Saccharomyces cerevisiae S288C: one gene and its partners. Changing the gene in region 4 together with the main gene of any one other region gives a genetic interaction. Each region holds a gene or a part of one and is shown on either strand. Other genes may lie near its edges. The genes, in order: ATP11, GPT2, SEC18 and SGT2.

Region 1 (3,210 bases), on a different chromosome or scaffold from region 4:
GTAATTCTATTAGTATCTGCTGGAGCAGGTAAGGATAGGGCTTTTTTGATCATCCTATCACGCAAGAGATCATAGGAAAAAACTACTTGTCCATTGGTGGAATTTTCCAACGGTACCACTGAATAATCTATACTAGTGTCGTTCTCCAATTGGTTAAAACATTGGGGGATAGAGGCTGCTGGGAGGTACTCAACATCAGATGTTGATTGAAATTGTTGTAATGCAGCTTGATGGGAATACGTACCTTTGGGACCCAGAAAAAGAACCCTCAAAGTCTTGCTGGCCATAATTGAAGGATGAATGCGGAAATATAATGAAGTTGCTTTTCGTACTTTTTTAGCCTGTTCTTTCTGCGTATTATATTCATCTACTAAAATTTTTATTTTCATTTTTCATTATGAAAATACAAGAGTCATGCTGATAACTGTGTAAAGAAACTGTACGCTTGTCGCAGATGATGTAGTACGTATTTTATTTACAGGTGTCATTAATATATATATATATATATATATACGTATACGGAAGTAATTCTTCGTTAATTTTCCATGGACTGTGATAGCGAAATCAATTTCTCGACGGTGAATCCCGGAGAGGCCTTAGAGAAATCTCTTAACAACTGCACTCTCTGTTTAGCAACTGGAGTTTCTTCACCCATTGCACCATAAAACCTTTGCACGTTTAGCAATAACAGCTGTGCATCCTGTACATTCACGTTTGTATCCGGTTCAACATGGCCATTCATAAAAACAATTCCCTTATCCTTGACCAAATCAGAATGGAACTGCAAGGTAGTATGTGGCCTTGCAAATTCCTGGTGTAGTTTGTATTCTGCTAGGGAAGTCATCATACAATGTGTTGTTTGGGGTCCGACAAACTGCCATTGGATGTAGTGTAGTTCCATTCCCTGTTCTTCGTTCGGTTTTGCATCCTCAGATTGAACTTGTCTAGGAAGTGGCAACACGAATATAGGGTTATTCCTGGCATTTGCCATCATCTTATCATAAACGGAGACAGGAATCACAGCGCATAATGTATTATCTTTTTGTGCCCATCTTGCTCTCCAAAGAAACTCTACTTCCTGTTTCGATAAGTCCTTCAGTTTTCCAACATCCAAAAAAGAGTCCAATGTTTTGAAGGGAACTTTAGGAGCACTTGGATCGAGAGGACTTCTTGATTTCGTCATCAAATGCTTGGAGTTGTTATTTTCCATTTGAGTTTTTTGTTGGTAATCCTCTAGTTCTTTCAGGGGGTCGATTTTATTAAATTCCCGCTTCTTAGACTCTATAGTCTCTTTCAAATGATTTTTCAACTCTTCTATGCTGTTAAAACCTTGTTTTTGAGCCTCTTCCAAAAGTTTCTTTCTATACTTCTGCTCTGGGCTGGAAGAATAAAAACGAAAAACAGGAACTGTTCCAATTGCCTTGTTAAAAATGGGCGACAGCTGATTAGAAATATGGATTCTAGTGCCGATTTTTCTGGTTAGTCTCCACATAGTTATTCTTAAATCTCTTTTGTTCTCTATTTTCAAGTCTTGATAAGTTCTTCACATCCTTCGATTACGGCGTCAAAATAAGCGTTATTTCCATTCGGGTGAGTTGAACCATTGATAACAACATGGTTTAACGATACTTTGAAAGGTTTAGGCGGAGCCAACCATAATGGATGAATCGGTGGATCCTGTGGAGCTGCTTCTACGACTACTGATACGGCACAAACCTCATCTGAAACCATATGCCTACAGACAAGATAGCTGGCAAAGGGTGCTCGATGAGTACAACAGACAGACTGGGTCAAGATATAGACAATCAAGGACGTTAAAAACCAAATTTCGTCGACTGAAGGACCTCTTCAGCGCAGATCGAGCCCAATTCTCTCCTTCCCAGTTGAAGCTGATGGGAGCACTCTTGGACGAAGCACCAGAACATCCAAGACCAAGAACTAAATTCGGAAATGAATCATCTTCATCCTTATCATCATCTTCTTTCATTAAAAGTCATCCGGGGCCTGATCCGTTTCAACAATTATCATCCGCTGAACATCCGAATAACCACAGCTCCGACGATGAGCATTCAGGCTCACAACCGCTGCCCCTGGATTCAATAACGATTGGAATTCCGCCTACTCTTCACACAATCCCCATGATTCTGTCTAAGGATAACGACGTCGGGAAAGTCATCAAAAGCCCTAAGATAAACAAGGGTACAAATAGGTTCAGCGAGACAGTACTGCCTCCACAAATGGCTGCTGAGCAATCGTGGTCGGACTCTAATATGGAATTGGAAATATGTCTAGATTATCTTCACAACGAACTCGAGGTGATAAAGAAAAGGCAAGAAGATTTTGAGTGTAAAGTTTTAAACAAGCTCAACATAATTGAGGCTCTCCTTTCACAGATGAGACCACCCAGCCAAGGAGATAAAATATAAAAACTTCTATTAGATATGCTTGATTCATGTCCATATGTATCTATTTATACAAACATTACGTAATATACACAGATTATACATGAAAGGTGCTCTTCATATTTGGCTTCTTGCTTCCACTAGCCTATCCCAACCAGGAGAGTCATCCCATCTGCCTTTGCCTTTACTCATTAGAGCTTTGATAGTAGATCTACATTTGTATTTCCAGTCTTTGCAAACCAGACTGCCTGGCCCATATTTACCTTCCATTTCACCAAGTGATTCATAGGCAGCCACCAAATCTTCACAAGCATCCACTGTATCATTCCAAACCTTTTCTTCAACTTCTAAATCAGGATTGTGAGAAATGGCCCTATAAGCCTTCTCGTGGCATTCTAGGGCGGCCCATGGTCTCTTCCTCCAAAGTTCTACTCTTGCGACCAGTCGCCAACATCTTGCACTGGTTGTAATTACCTGAGGTAAAGTGTTACAGATAAACTCAGTACAGCTCTTTTGAAAATAAGATAATTGCTGCGGCTCCTCTGGATATTCACTAGTCACTAATAGTTCTACTAGTTTTTCAATAATTGGTAAGTCGATGGAACCTTCGCCAGATTTGTCCCTCCTAATACTGACTAATTGTTTACATGCAGTTAAGACATCCTCCCACTCATTCAACTTAACAGCAACAAGCATGTAATTCTCCCAAATTTTCCAGTTCTTTTGAGCGTCACATGAAATGGCTCTTTTCAAACAACTATAAGCTTCTTTCAATTTATCCATTTTCGTATATGCAGCGCTCAAATTT
Region 2 (4,565 bases), on a different chromosome or scaffold from region 4:
CGAAGTACTAAGTAAGTGTGCATTCAAAATATTTTTAAACATCACACCCAACATAACGAACTGGTCGCATAACAAGGATACTTTTTCATTGATTTTGGATGAAAACCCATTGGCTGACTTTGTGGAGTTACCCATGGACGCTATGAAATCGCTCTGGTATTCCAATATATTGTGTGGTGTTTTGAAAGGGTCACTTGAAATGGTGCAGCTGGATTGTGATGTCTGGTTTGTGTCGGATATCTTGAGAGGAGACTCTCAGACGGAGATCAAGGTTAAGTTAAATAGAATTTTAAAAGACGAAATACCGATCGGCGAAGATTAGTGGACATGTAAGCTTTTTTTTTTCGTGATTTTTGTTATTATTGGTGTCGTTATTTAGGTATACATTATTTTCCTACGTAGAAATGTTATCCTTAATGTTTTTGTTCAGTAGTTACTTTCATATTATATTATTTACAAACATTGTCAAATGCTTTTTTTTTTATTTTTCTATTTTTTGATCATTCTTTCTTTTCGTGTTCTCTTTTCTGTCTTACCAGCGAAGCAATCTTCGAAGATATATTTGTGTTGCGACTGTTTTCCTTATTTAGATCAGAACTTCGTGCGGTTTGTACTATGGCAGGATTTTTCTCATCAAATTCATCCTCATCCTCACTAGTTTCACCTTCACTTTTCCATTGACCTTGCTTTGCATCAGAAAAAATTGGAATATCGGTCAACGAGCCTCTTGAATTCACTCTTGATAGGGCGTTAGAAGCTAGCGAGCCAATAGAATGTATAGAAGAAGAGCGGCTTCTAGATTGTACACTCATACGACTTATAGAAGACTCTGCATCAGAAGAGACATCATAACCGTCTCTCTTAGAGAATATCTCAGTCGCTAATTTATCGTAATCAGGGAAAACCAAAGGTCCTAAATCGTTACAAACAGCAGTCAACTCTAGACTTAAATTCTTTCTTGTTGTTTGGATTTCTTCGATCTTCTTACCGGGGTAAACAATAGAAACAAAAAGTGGTCTTAAAGATTTGAAAAGGTCAACACCGATTTCACCGGTCTTTAAAGAGGAATACGTGGTGAAAACCAATAACGCATAAAAATAGACAAATTGTATGAATGCGTTATTGGAAGGAACCCAGATGCGACAATAGTGTTGTTTTCTTGCCAAAATAATCAACAAGATCGAGTAAGTAACGTATAAAATTGGTGCCAATATTAACGCCACGATAAGTTTCCATGTGGCCAACAAATCGGTACCCTTAATTTTAACCAATGATTTCTTTAAACCCTCTTTGGCCTTCTTTTCTGAGTATACGCGACAAATAATGAAAATTGGAGTGAAGAGAATAGAACCCGGTAACGATAGTATAGCAAAGACAGAAAATTTAATCAATCGAACGATCAAAGTTACAAAGCACCTCAATGCTTCTAATTTGGTAGTTTTTAATTGCATCACCTGATGGTCTTTTAAACCCACTGAATCTAATTTCCTGTTGTAGTCATATACCAGTTTTTTTAAGTGAATAATTCTTGGATCATCTTTAAACTTGGAATAACCGAAAAGTAACCTTCTGTTGATTTCTACAATGGCAGGCAAAGGTAGCCTGACTTTTACCGGTTGATATAGTCTTCTGGCAGCCTGAATGACCATCAAAGTATCGTAATCTGGAGCATTTTCGGTAACAGAAAACAAAGAATTGGTGATCTTTTTTAGTAGTTTGGAAACGGTCTCACGTGGGGAGTCCTTATACATTTCGCCATATTTCCCATCCACCACTATAGGTTCGCCGTATTCTAAAACAGCTCTAGATCTGAATTTATTTCTGTGGAAATAATGCAAACCACAGGGTACAACAGCAACTTTCATGGTAGGATCAGCGGCTACTGCGCCCAGAGCCATAATGGCAACACCTGCCTTGATGGGTAGTAACGAAGGACGGTCATGAGAACCACCCTCGGGGAAAATACCTACACAGCCCTTCGTATGCAAGTGATCAAAAACACTCTGGAAAGTTTCCGTATTGTCGATTTTCTCTGCATATTTAAAATTAGTACCATTAGTCAAGAGCTCCACCACTTTTGATTTCGATGTTCTGAATGGAGAGGACAAGATTATCGTTTCATCATCCGGGATTTCCTTGATTTGAGCATTACTTAAGTAGTCGGGCAATCCAAGCAAGGACTTGGCAGAAAACCTTTTCGTAAAGTTCACTGGTGTAGTCTGTGGGTTCTTGGAGCGGCCCTTGATGATTTCCGGGTGGTTCTTCAAGTCCGGAGCGTAAATCTCAAGATTCTCATCCACTGGCTTCAAGTTGTCCTGAATTCTAGGCACGGGAATACCGCCCATTGCGTGACCAAAGAAAGAGATAAATCTTTTCTTAAAACTCGACTCAGCAGTAACAAAACAAGGCATTCTGGATCGGGACTTTCCCGCTGATGTCTTCAGCAAACGGGTTTGCGACATTACCAAAGCCGGGTCGATGAACTGATTTGCATGAGGGGCACACACAAGGATGGTTGGCACCCCAACTTCGGGAACGTTATATGCACCACGTACCTTAATTTCTCTGAAGAAAATAGTGAACAAAATATTAAACAGAAATACAGACACATCATACAGCCATGTATGTATATTGTATACGAATCCATTGTATGAATTTTTGTACCGTCGGGACGCTTGAGGTACATGAGGAATAGGTTTGGCAGCGTTATGATCGGCAGCGGGAGCAGACATAAAGGAAAGGGAGCAATAACTGATCGATTAATCGGCTTTATTAGATGTGAAAGTAGAATTTTGCTCTAGCGACGAAGCACGAAAAGACACTATCTTATACTCAAGCTGCCACTTCTTCAGGGTCTCTCCTCTTTTCTCTCCCCTCTTTATTACTCCTCTCAACCTTACAATCAAAGTGAGCCATTTACTTCGAAAATGCGGAGCAACGGCGGGTTACTGGTGTTCCAGCAAGAGCTGTAATAATTCAATATAACTAGTAAGAATAGCCAAGAAAGCCAAAAGACGAGCTTGGATCGATGCGAAAATGTGGTCGCTCCACACCAATTACTAGTTATCATTTAGCGCTGCCGTGTGGCGACTACACTTCAGCGACCTATGTAGCTTACATAATGTCGGGATGATTTCTCCCGCAGCTAGATCTCGCCAATGGAAATTCCAAAGCCAAAGAATATCCTGCTTTGTCAGGAATTTCGTAAACCATGGTCAGGCCCAGATTTGTAGTTTTCTTTACCAACGACAGCGATGAGTTATTTGGTCCTGAGTACTGAGTAATATGACTCTCTTGGCATCCAGGGGCCGGCCCAAGCCGGCTGTTACCAATTTAGGAAAGGACCCTGGAGCGAAAAGTACTTAAGCAGAGACTATTGTACACGCTCGCTAACTCAAGAACATGAATTTCGCATTCATGCAGACGCAAACACACACGTATATCTACAATTATGACTACTGCTGTTAGGCTTTTACCTTCACTGGGCAGAACCGCCCATAAGAGGTCTCTCTACCTGTTCTCCGCTGCTGCTGCTGCTGCTGCTGCTGCAACTTTTGCTTACTCGCAATCCCAAAAGAGATCATCGTCTTCTCCCGGGGGTGGTAGTAACCACGGATGGAACAACTGGGGGAAGGCAGCTGCTTTGGCTTCCACTACACCGCTCGTTCATGTCGCCTCTGTCGAAAAAGGGAGGTCATACGAGGACTTCCAAAAGGTGTACAATGCGATTGCACTCAAGCTGAGGGAAGATGACGAATATGACAACTATATAGGCTATGGGCCCGTATTAGTCCGTCTTGCTTGGCACACTTCAGGGACCTGGGACAAGCACGACAATACAGGCGGGTCATACGGTGGTACATACAGATTCAAAAAGGAGTTTAACGATCCATCCAATGCGGGCTTGCAGAATGGCTTCAAGTTCCTGGAGCCCATTCACAAAGAGTTTCCCTGGATCTCCTCGGGTGATCTGTTCAGTCTAGGGGGTGTCACTGCCGTGCAGGAAATGCAGGGTCCCAAGATTCCATGGAGATGTGGTAGAGTCGACACGCCAGAGGATACTACCCCTGACAACGGGAGACTGCCTGACGCTGATAAAGACGCTGACTATGTCAGAACATTTTTTCAAAGACTTAATATGAATGACAGAGAAGTAGTTGCTCTTATGGGGGCTCACGCTCTGGGCAAGACCCACTTGAAGAACTCTGGATACGAAGGGCCATGGGGAGCCGCTAACAACGTCTTTACCAATGAGTTTTACTTGAACTTGCTGAATGAAGACTGGAAATTGGAAAAGAACGACGCGAACAACGAACAGTGGGACTCTAAGAGCGGCTACATGATGCTGCCCACTGATTATTCTTTGATTCAGGATCCCAAGTACTTAAGCATTGTGAAAGAATACGCTAATGACCAGGACAAGTTCTTCAAGGATTTTTCCAAAGCTTTTGAAAAACTGTTGGAGAACGGTATCACTTTCCCTAAAGACGCGCCCAGTCCATTTATTTTCAAGACTTTAGAGGAACAAGGTTTATAGGTCACTGAGGAAAGATATTATTTATTGG
Region 3 (4,354 bases), on a different chromosome or scaffold from region 4:
AACCGTCTTTTAGCAGCTTACCTTTCTTTAGTTCAACACCAATTTCCAAGAATTTAAACACGACTGGCTCAACAGTTGAAGGTGTAGCCCAACGGATTCTTCTGGCAGTTATGAAATCATGCAAAGATTGTAAAGCAGCTTGTTTTTCGCCAACAGAAATAAGTTCATCGGCTCTCTTAATGGCATTTTCAGGACGGAATGGTGGGGGGGCCATCTTGATGTTTCCTGGGCGTTTGTATGGTTTATTTTGGAACTCTCTCTATAGTTGTAAGTATATCTACTTTCGATTTAGTTCACCAAGAAAAATTTTTCACCTGGCAAAGCTTCTCGGGCAAAGCGACTGAAAAATTATCATCTTTACCCGGTGGGTGATAATTATGACAGGCAGATTCCAATGACAGAATAAAAGGAAAGGATGCCTTGGTTTTGATAATTTTATAAAATTTATCACTAAAATATATACCATAGAGGAAAGAACTTGTTCACTAGATCCTTTCTGATTGGAAGGGATAAAGAATAAAAATACAAGGACATGAAAAATTTGAAATAATTATGCGGATTGGGTCATCAACTCAACAAGCTCGTTCACGGGATCTTCATCGTGCCTTGCGGTTTCAATGTTGGTCAAGGTCTTTTTAATACCGACATTGAAGTTAGGACAGCTCCTTGATAATTCATTAATAACTTTAACTCTACCAGCATCGTCAAGAAAGTTTGATTCTATCATGACGTTGTTCAATTCATCTAAATTGGTCATATTTGGAACTGCTATCTCATTGTCGAAGCAACTCAAGATATCCATTTGTTGAAGTACCGAATAAGCTGATGTAGTAGTCATGATCAATAAACGACGGTCTTGTGGGGGTTTACGCTTCAATGCAACCTTTAGCATTTGTAAAATGTTATTAGAGAATCTTGGACCAATTGGTACCCAATCAACTAGAGTCTCTAACGAATCAATAACAAGAATGTTTAGTGGAGATTTATACGCATCTCTGAAAGTGTTATCAATATAGGCAATTTTTGCGCTTTCTGACATGCCTGACAACTCGTTGGGAGAAATTAACCTGATGAATGGGAATCCAGATTTTAAAGCAATTTCAGCGGCTAAAGCTGTTTTACCGGACCCTGCAGGGCCGTGGATTAATAGAGATACTAACCTGGATTTATCACTCTCGCGAACTTGGCGGACGTAACGGGCTCCGTTCTTCAATATTGAGTTAACTCGTTCGGAATAAAGCATCATTCCACCTTCCACACATGTTTTCAAATCTTCTTCACTAATCCCAAAAGCGGGAGTAACATCGTTGAGTGCATTTAAAAAGTCTTCTCTTGTTACTTTAAGTTTTGCTATATCTTTAGTGTTAAGTTTTGTGGCACCTTTCCCGATGTTGACGGTTTTGTTGATTGCAAAAGAACTTGCACTCTTCACTAAACCCTCAATCTCAGCACCAGAGAAGTTTTTTGTTAACGCAGCTAACTCAGCTAAGTTAACATCGTCGCTCATCATATTATTTTCCCTCATTTTCTTCGTCTGAATGTCGAAAATTTGGAGTCTTCCTTTTTCATCGGGTAAATGAATTTCAACTTGGACTTCAAATCTACCTGGACGCAAAAGAGCACTGTCTATTAAATCTTTACGATTGGTCATACCAATAACCAAAATATTATTCAATTGATCAACACCATCCATTTTAGCTAACAATTGATTAACTACATTGTCCCCTACACCGGTACCATCACCTCTTGAACCTCTCTGCTTGAAAACAGAATCCAGCTCATCGAAAATAATAATATGTAAGGAAGATTCCTCACCCTTGGCCCTATATTCTGCTTCTGCATCCTTAAATAAATTACGAATGTTTTCTTCTGAAGAACCAACGTACTTACTCAAAATTTCTGGACCATTGACGATTTTGGGCTCTTTGGCATTCAGCATTGTACCAATCTTTCTTGCAATTAAGGTCTTACCAGTACCTGGAGGACCGTACAATAGCAAACCTTTAACATGAGAAATACCCAGTTTTTCTATAACTGAAGGAGGAAAGATTCGACTTGCAAACGCTCTTCTGAAAATTTTAGTAAACTCTTTATCCAAACCACCGACACCCAAATCTTCAAACTTGAAATCCGGTCTGATCACAGCATTTGATCTTGGTCTTAATGAATTTGATGATTTCAAATTAACTAAACCATCTCTTCCTTTGAAAAAATTAATTTGTGTTTGTTTTGTCAAAATTCCCTTTGTCTCTATCCCAGTTGCAACAGCGGAGGTTGGTTCAATATCACCCAAATCGATTGCTTGGACATTTCTAATTTTTAAGTCAAAGAAATGGCCTTGGAACTCCATGATAAGGTACTGGGTGGGAGAAAATATTTGAGATTCGTAGCAACGAACAAATTGTTTGGCTAACTCATCTTGATCGAATACCGTGCTTACCGCCTTACCTCTAGCTCTGAATGAGATATCTATATCTATTGAACCAAGATACGATTGCTTACCGGAATACTTGAATAAATCAAATGCTTTTGCTTGCACGTCTTGATTTAGGGACCAACCACCCCAGGTACGCTGGTTACCGTTAAATCCAATGGTTCCCGGTGGAATGTCGTTGGAGTGTCTAGTTGTGAAAACAAATAAATTATCGATAATAATATAAATGTTATTAGGGAAATCATTTGGTGAGACAGCAGCTACGTTTGCGAGTGCATAGGAGTTATTTGGACAGTTTGACACCTTTAAATGGCGTGTACGGGTATCCATGTTTGTCATATCTGGTGGAGTATGATTTGCAGCAGCTTTTCCAAAACCAGGTATCTTGAACATACTCAATTTATAAAGGCTGAATATACGGTACTATTTGCTCTTATCTTTGAGAGAAACAACGGTAGTACTTAAAGGCTACGAATAAGCCAATTTCATGAATCTCGAAATTTGGTACGCCTAACGTATAGTGTGATACCGAATTAACCCATGGGAAATACCTTTTTTTAGTGACGCTACGCTTGTGTAAAGAGAAAAAAATACTAGGTGACATTTTAGAGAGGGTACTGCAGAAGTATAAAGCGTACTCTGAGTATTAAAGTGCATTGAATTGGAATCCTACATCAACTACAAGTAAATAGTACAACCTTTATAAGCAAATGTATTTAATTAAAGATAAAATATTCAACTATTTAGCGCGCTCATTATTGATTAAGGCGAGGAAGGCTCAAGCTAAATGAACTATTGCTGCCCATATTGGTATCATCAAAAGCATCATCCATATCCAAAGGATCTAAAGGTTGAGGCGTTCGCAAAAATAAGGAAGAATCTCCATCATTTTCTGCACCCACTTTGGCGTTTACAGTTGTTGTTGGATCCGCTTTTACGTCGTTTTCCAAGTCTTCTTCTGGAAGTATAAACGCGCTTGCGATCGGTTTCTTTTTGTATGTGGTACTTATCTTACCAGTAGGAGGTAATCTTGCCTTCGTTGCGGTTTTCTTTGAGACAAACTGATCCTCTTCTAGTAAAGCGAAAGAATTGTCTTCTGTGGAAGTCATTGAGGTTTTATCATTTGCAGATGACTTGCTTTGCTTTGCTATATAGGCCTTGGAACGTTCATAATCTTTTTGTAATAGGGGAAGTAGAGTATTCCAGAATGAACCAGCATCCAGCATACCTTTTGTAATTTTCTTATACACAATGCTGTCTGATTCTTCCGGTTGGATCTTTTTGGCCTGCACTTTGGTTTCCCCGTCAACAGTTTGAAACTGAGTAGTCAGTAACTGTAATGGAACAGATGAACTCAAAACTCCAAACTCCTTTTCTAATCCAAGCTCTCTAAAACCAAAGAAGTCTTCACCAGTCAATTCGCTGGCAAAGTCACCTGTAAAAAAGCTTTGGCTCTCGTCTTCAAAGTTTCTCTCGGACAACTCCTGCAAAGTTGGCCTTAATAAGGCTCTCAAAAAGCTTTCTAGTTTCTGTTTGATGTCCTGAAGTTTCTTAGTTTTTTTACCAAATTCAGATTCAACATAGGAAAATAGATCGTCTGGCCTGTTGATACCGTTTTCCAACAGTGTTGTTTGCAGCATTTCCACATTTGTTCCTCTATTTAAGGAGTTAGTTTCATGATGAAGCTTCAAAGTCTTTATCAGATTAGATAGGTAATCCCCGGCGATTTCAGTAAGCATGTTTATTGCTGATGGATGGGCAGTTTCAAACCCATTGGCCATAGCAACCTTAGATATGTTCTTATGCATGAATTTCCATATCAGCTCCCTGTTGTTTTTGTAATCATGCGTTGGAAGCTGTGACACCGGATCAATATCGAGTGAGTCATCAATAATAGTGTAATTATAAATGTGGTTGTTA
Region 4 (3,409 bases):
TTCTGTCCAACTCTCAATGATTTAATTAAGCCCAACCTTTCAAGTTTTTTACCACTGCATCTCTTTGGATCGCAATGATCAAAATCCCACATAGCCAGTTTAACAGGAAACTTCATTTTTTCTGAATTATCGTACTTCATTTCCATGCGCCTATGGTTTTGCCTGGAACTGTGCCCATTAGCGCCTCTCTGTGGTCTTCCATTTTTGGGTTCGTGCATCTTATTTTTACCTTTTCCCATTGTTACTGCTTACTCAACTGTCTTACGCGAGAAGTTCTATACAGATTTACATAAAAAGCTTTTCGATAAAGTATTTCAAATAGACATTTACTAGTAAAAATTTTTTTATGTAGTTTCTCATCACATTATATTTTCTAGTCTTCTCCGAAAATCGACGAATTTACCTGAAAAAAAGAAAAAGTAAACTACAGTCCCTATTTAAGTATTTCGCAAGTGATCTCAAAGTAAAAATAAAATTCCTGGTAACACTCATCCTAGATAGAGCTATATTTGTATCTACATAACATGTATTGCATTAAAGGCTTATTTCAGTCCACTATTGCTTGTTCTCATTGTCTGGTGTTTCATCTGTAGATTGGGCACCTGCTCCACCAAAAAGATTGCCTGCCATGTTTCTGAGTGCTGGGTTATTCATCAAGTCAGACAAATTTGGAGTTCCTCCGCCTGAAGCAAAGCCTTCAGCCATCTGTCTGATACTTGGATCTTGCATCATTTTTTGAATATTCTGCATTGCACCTGGATTGCTCATCATTTTTTGCGCAGCCTGCATCAATTGTGGGTTGTTCATTAAACCTCCAAGACCACCTCCTAATAAAGAACCAAGATCTGGCAATCCACCCGCACTAGCACCCTGACTTGCATCGACATCAGCATCCCTTGACTGTTCTGGAACGGTTTTCTCCAGATTCAAAGATTGCTCAACCTTCTTCTTGGCACTTTCATAATCCCTTTTCATAGCTTCTGTTGCATTATCGCCCTCTATATCAAGAACCTTTTTGTATGCTTCAAGGGCTTCTTCGGGTTTACCTTGCGCATATTTAGCAAAACCCAATCTAGAGTAGCCTCTGAAATAAGATGGGTCAATAGAAATTGCAGATTCAGCGTCTTTGACCGCTTGATCATATTCTTTCAGGGATGAATGAGCAGCCGCTCTATTGGCGTAATAAATAGCATTCGTTGGTAAAACTTTAATGGCTTCAGTATATTTATTGATTGCCAGTTCGTAATCCTTGTTGGCCATTGCTTTATTACCTTGCATTTTCAAGTCCTCAGCTTTGGCTTTAGTTTCCGCATCATCTTCTGGAATATTAATCTCGACATTCTCAGCATCGTCTTTCTTATTCGATTCTGGAACTCTTGACGCAGAATTTAATATATCAGCAAGATGTTGACCCTTGAATTCAGACTTGCCTAAAATGCCTGAAACAGCTTCTCTTTCAAAGCCAAAGGCTTCAGAGATACAGTCCATAGCAACATTTAAAGAATCGGCGCCATCTTCTGAAATTTCTTTCTTTTCCACAATGGAAGAAAAGTAGTTTACAATAAGGGCAGCAATTTCTTCTTTTGATGCTGACATCGTACAGTAGATTTGTATTAATAAGATATCACTTGGTCAGAAGCTTCTATTCAGTTGTCCGATTATATCGCTCGTACTCATTTTATATGGTGGCAAAATTTGGGATTAAGCGTAGGGCAATAAAACCTTCTCGGATCTTCCATTTTTTTCGATTGGGAAAATTTTAAGACTTGAAAAAGTTTGGAAAAATACAAAAGAAGGGCTAAGTGTTGTGATTAGAATGTCATGACAATAAGGTTAAAAGCAAATATTATGCCGCCTATAGCCCTTTAAAATAGCATAAAAGACCTTTGTAATTTCTATTCAATGTTAAAAAAAATCTTCCCCGCCAGGACTTGAACCTGGAATCTTCTGGTTCGTAGCCAGACGCCGTGACCATTGGGCCACGAGGAACAGATCTTGAGAAAATTAGAGATATTTATCGATACACGTACTAAAAGCAAATTTCATAGTTTTATTTCCCAATAATGCCCATCATCCATTATTATTATATTCAAATTATTATGCCAGTGTGAAAAAAATGGAATGATCATTCCCATACATATTGATGATTTTCGACATAATTATATGCAATGGTATACGCAATTGTGCAAACATGACAATTTTGTTTTGATTCTTTCATTCCATTTTTTGTAAAGGAATAATATCCCTATATAATATGCCAGAGGTCTTTCCTCGAGGATACAGGAATCCGCAAAATGGAATCAAAATTTTACATCATATATTATAATCACGTCTTCCTCCTTTTTCATGCATTACTACTCACGCATCCTATCACATAATCAATCCTTGCGCTTCAATTTCATTAGATTGAAGAAAATATGAATATAAATTTATTAATCTCCTACTTTATATCGTCTTTCAACGCGGTATTTTTTTAATAATTTCTAGTAAAGTGGTTATTGTCACTAGAAGATAATTAGCTATTAGTTTCATAACAATTTGTTATTTTGAAAATGTATAGTTTTATTAGGTGGTATTCATTTCAAAGAATTAACATGTTTAATGTTTGTTAAATCTATGTAACTAAGTTAAGGTTGGTATTCAAATATATCATAAAAAAATTAATGAGTAGAAAAAAAAATAACTAATCTAATTTTGTTGTTCCTATTTAATGTTCCTCGTTACTTCCAGCTCTCCAGCTCTCAAATTCGAAATGTATGAATTTTTAGAGGATCATCATAATGTGAAAATGGAGATGATTTGGCAAAATGAAATCGGAAAAAGAAAAAATTAATGGGAAGGAACAAGACTTGCTTGGCAATAGTTTAAGAATATAATAATTTTTTTTGGGTTTCTTCAATCAGCTTCGTCTGGATTGACCACTGTTAAAACGTTGTTTTTCCCTCCTGGTCCGCCATTTATGAATGTTCCGTTACTTATTCTCCTTGAGTCGTCGAAAGGGTTAATATCAGTTTGCCCTTTGGTGTGCTCCTCCTCGAAGCTACCTGAAGAGGGCCCGTGATTAGATGAAAATGAAGAGGCGTATAGTTTATCAGGGTACTCAACTGGTTTTATCGCCTCTTGGTATTCCTTTTCCATCCTGTCTTGTTCCCGCTTCATATTAATGTGTCTGACAATCAACAAGATACAAAGAGCAATGGCTACGGCTCCCACTACACCACCTACAACGCCGCCTACAATTGCCCCTACATTGGCTTTCTTTTTATGAGTTTTACTTCCACTCGTAGAGTCAGATCCAGCTGTACCTGTGGCCGATCCTGAATTCTGTGCACTTGCCGTGATGGTGTTCGTGACAAAAATTGTGGAACCGCCCTCAGTGTGAAAAGTAGTGGAATAGATTATCGAAGTG

The links.
Region 1: mutations in SGT2 (region 4) and ATP11 together harm fitness more than expected from each alone (negative genetic interaction), as found in Saccharomyces cerevisiae (2 studies listed by BioGRID).
Region 2: mutations in SGT2 (region 4) and GPT2 together harm fitness more than expected from each alone (negative genetic interaction), as found in Saccharomyces cerevisiae (2 studies listed by BioGRID).
Region 3: mutations in SGT2 (region 4) and SEC18 together harm fitness more than expected from each alone (negative genetic interaction), as found in Saccharomyces cerevisiae (2 studies listed by BioGRID).

Annotation. Positions count from the first base shown.
Region 1 is NC_001146.8:42,789-45,998, forward strand, and holds ATP11 (Atp11p), read right to left. Parts: upstream 1,493-3,210; coding exon 536-1,492; downstream 1-535. Other genes in the region: prephenate dehydratase PHA2, read right to left, coding at 1-287; DAL82 (Dal82p), read left to right, coding at 1,659-2,426; tetratricopeptide repeat-containing protein EMW1, read right to left, coding at 2,520-3,210.
Region 2 is NC_001143.9:566,085-570,649, reverse strand, and holds GPT2 (bifunctional glycerol-3-phosphate/glycerone-phosphate O-acyltransferase GPT2), read right to left. Parts: upstream 2,733-4,565; coding exon 501-2,732; downstream 1-500. Other genes in the region: TRAPP complex core subunit BET3, read left to right, coding at 1-322; CCP1 (cytochrome-c peroxidase), read left to right, coding at 3,452-4,537. UniProt on the Saccharomyces cerevisiae protein: Dual substrate-specific glycerol-3-phosphate/dihydroxyacetone phosphate sn-1 acyltransferase, catalyzing the first and committed reaction in the de novo synthesis of glycerophospholipids and triacylglycerols (TAGs).
Region 3 is NC_001134.8:398,064-402,417, forward strand, and holds SEC18 (AAA family ATPase SEC18), read right to left. Parts: upstream 2,828-4,354; coding exon 551-2,827; downstream 1-550. Other genes in the region: RPG1 (translation initiation factor eIF3 core subunit a), read right to left, coding at 1-214; SAGA histone acetyltransferase complex subunit SPT7, read right to left, coding at 3,190-4,354. UniProt on the Saccharomyces cerevisiae protein: Required for vesicle-mediated transport. Catalyzes the fusion of transport vesicles within the Golgi cisternae. Is also required for transport from the endoplasmic reticulum to the Golgi stack.
Region 4 is NC_001147.6:338,383-341,791, forward strand, and holds SGT2 (Sgt2p), read right to left. Parts: upstream 1,597-3,409; coding exon 556-1,596; downstream 1-555. Other genes in the region: ribosome biogenesis protein TSR3, read right to left, coding at 1-239; SLG1 (Slg1p), read right to left, coding at 2,896-3,409. UniProt on the Saccharomyces cerevisiae protein: Co-chaperone that binds to the molecular chaperone Hsp70 (SSA1 and SSA2). Regulates Hsp70 ATPase activity. Required for recovery from heat shock.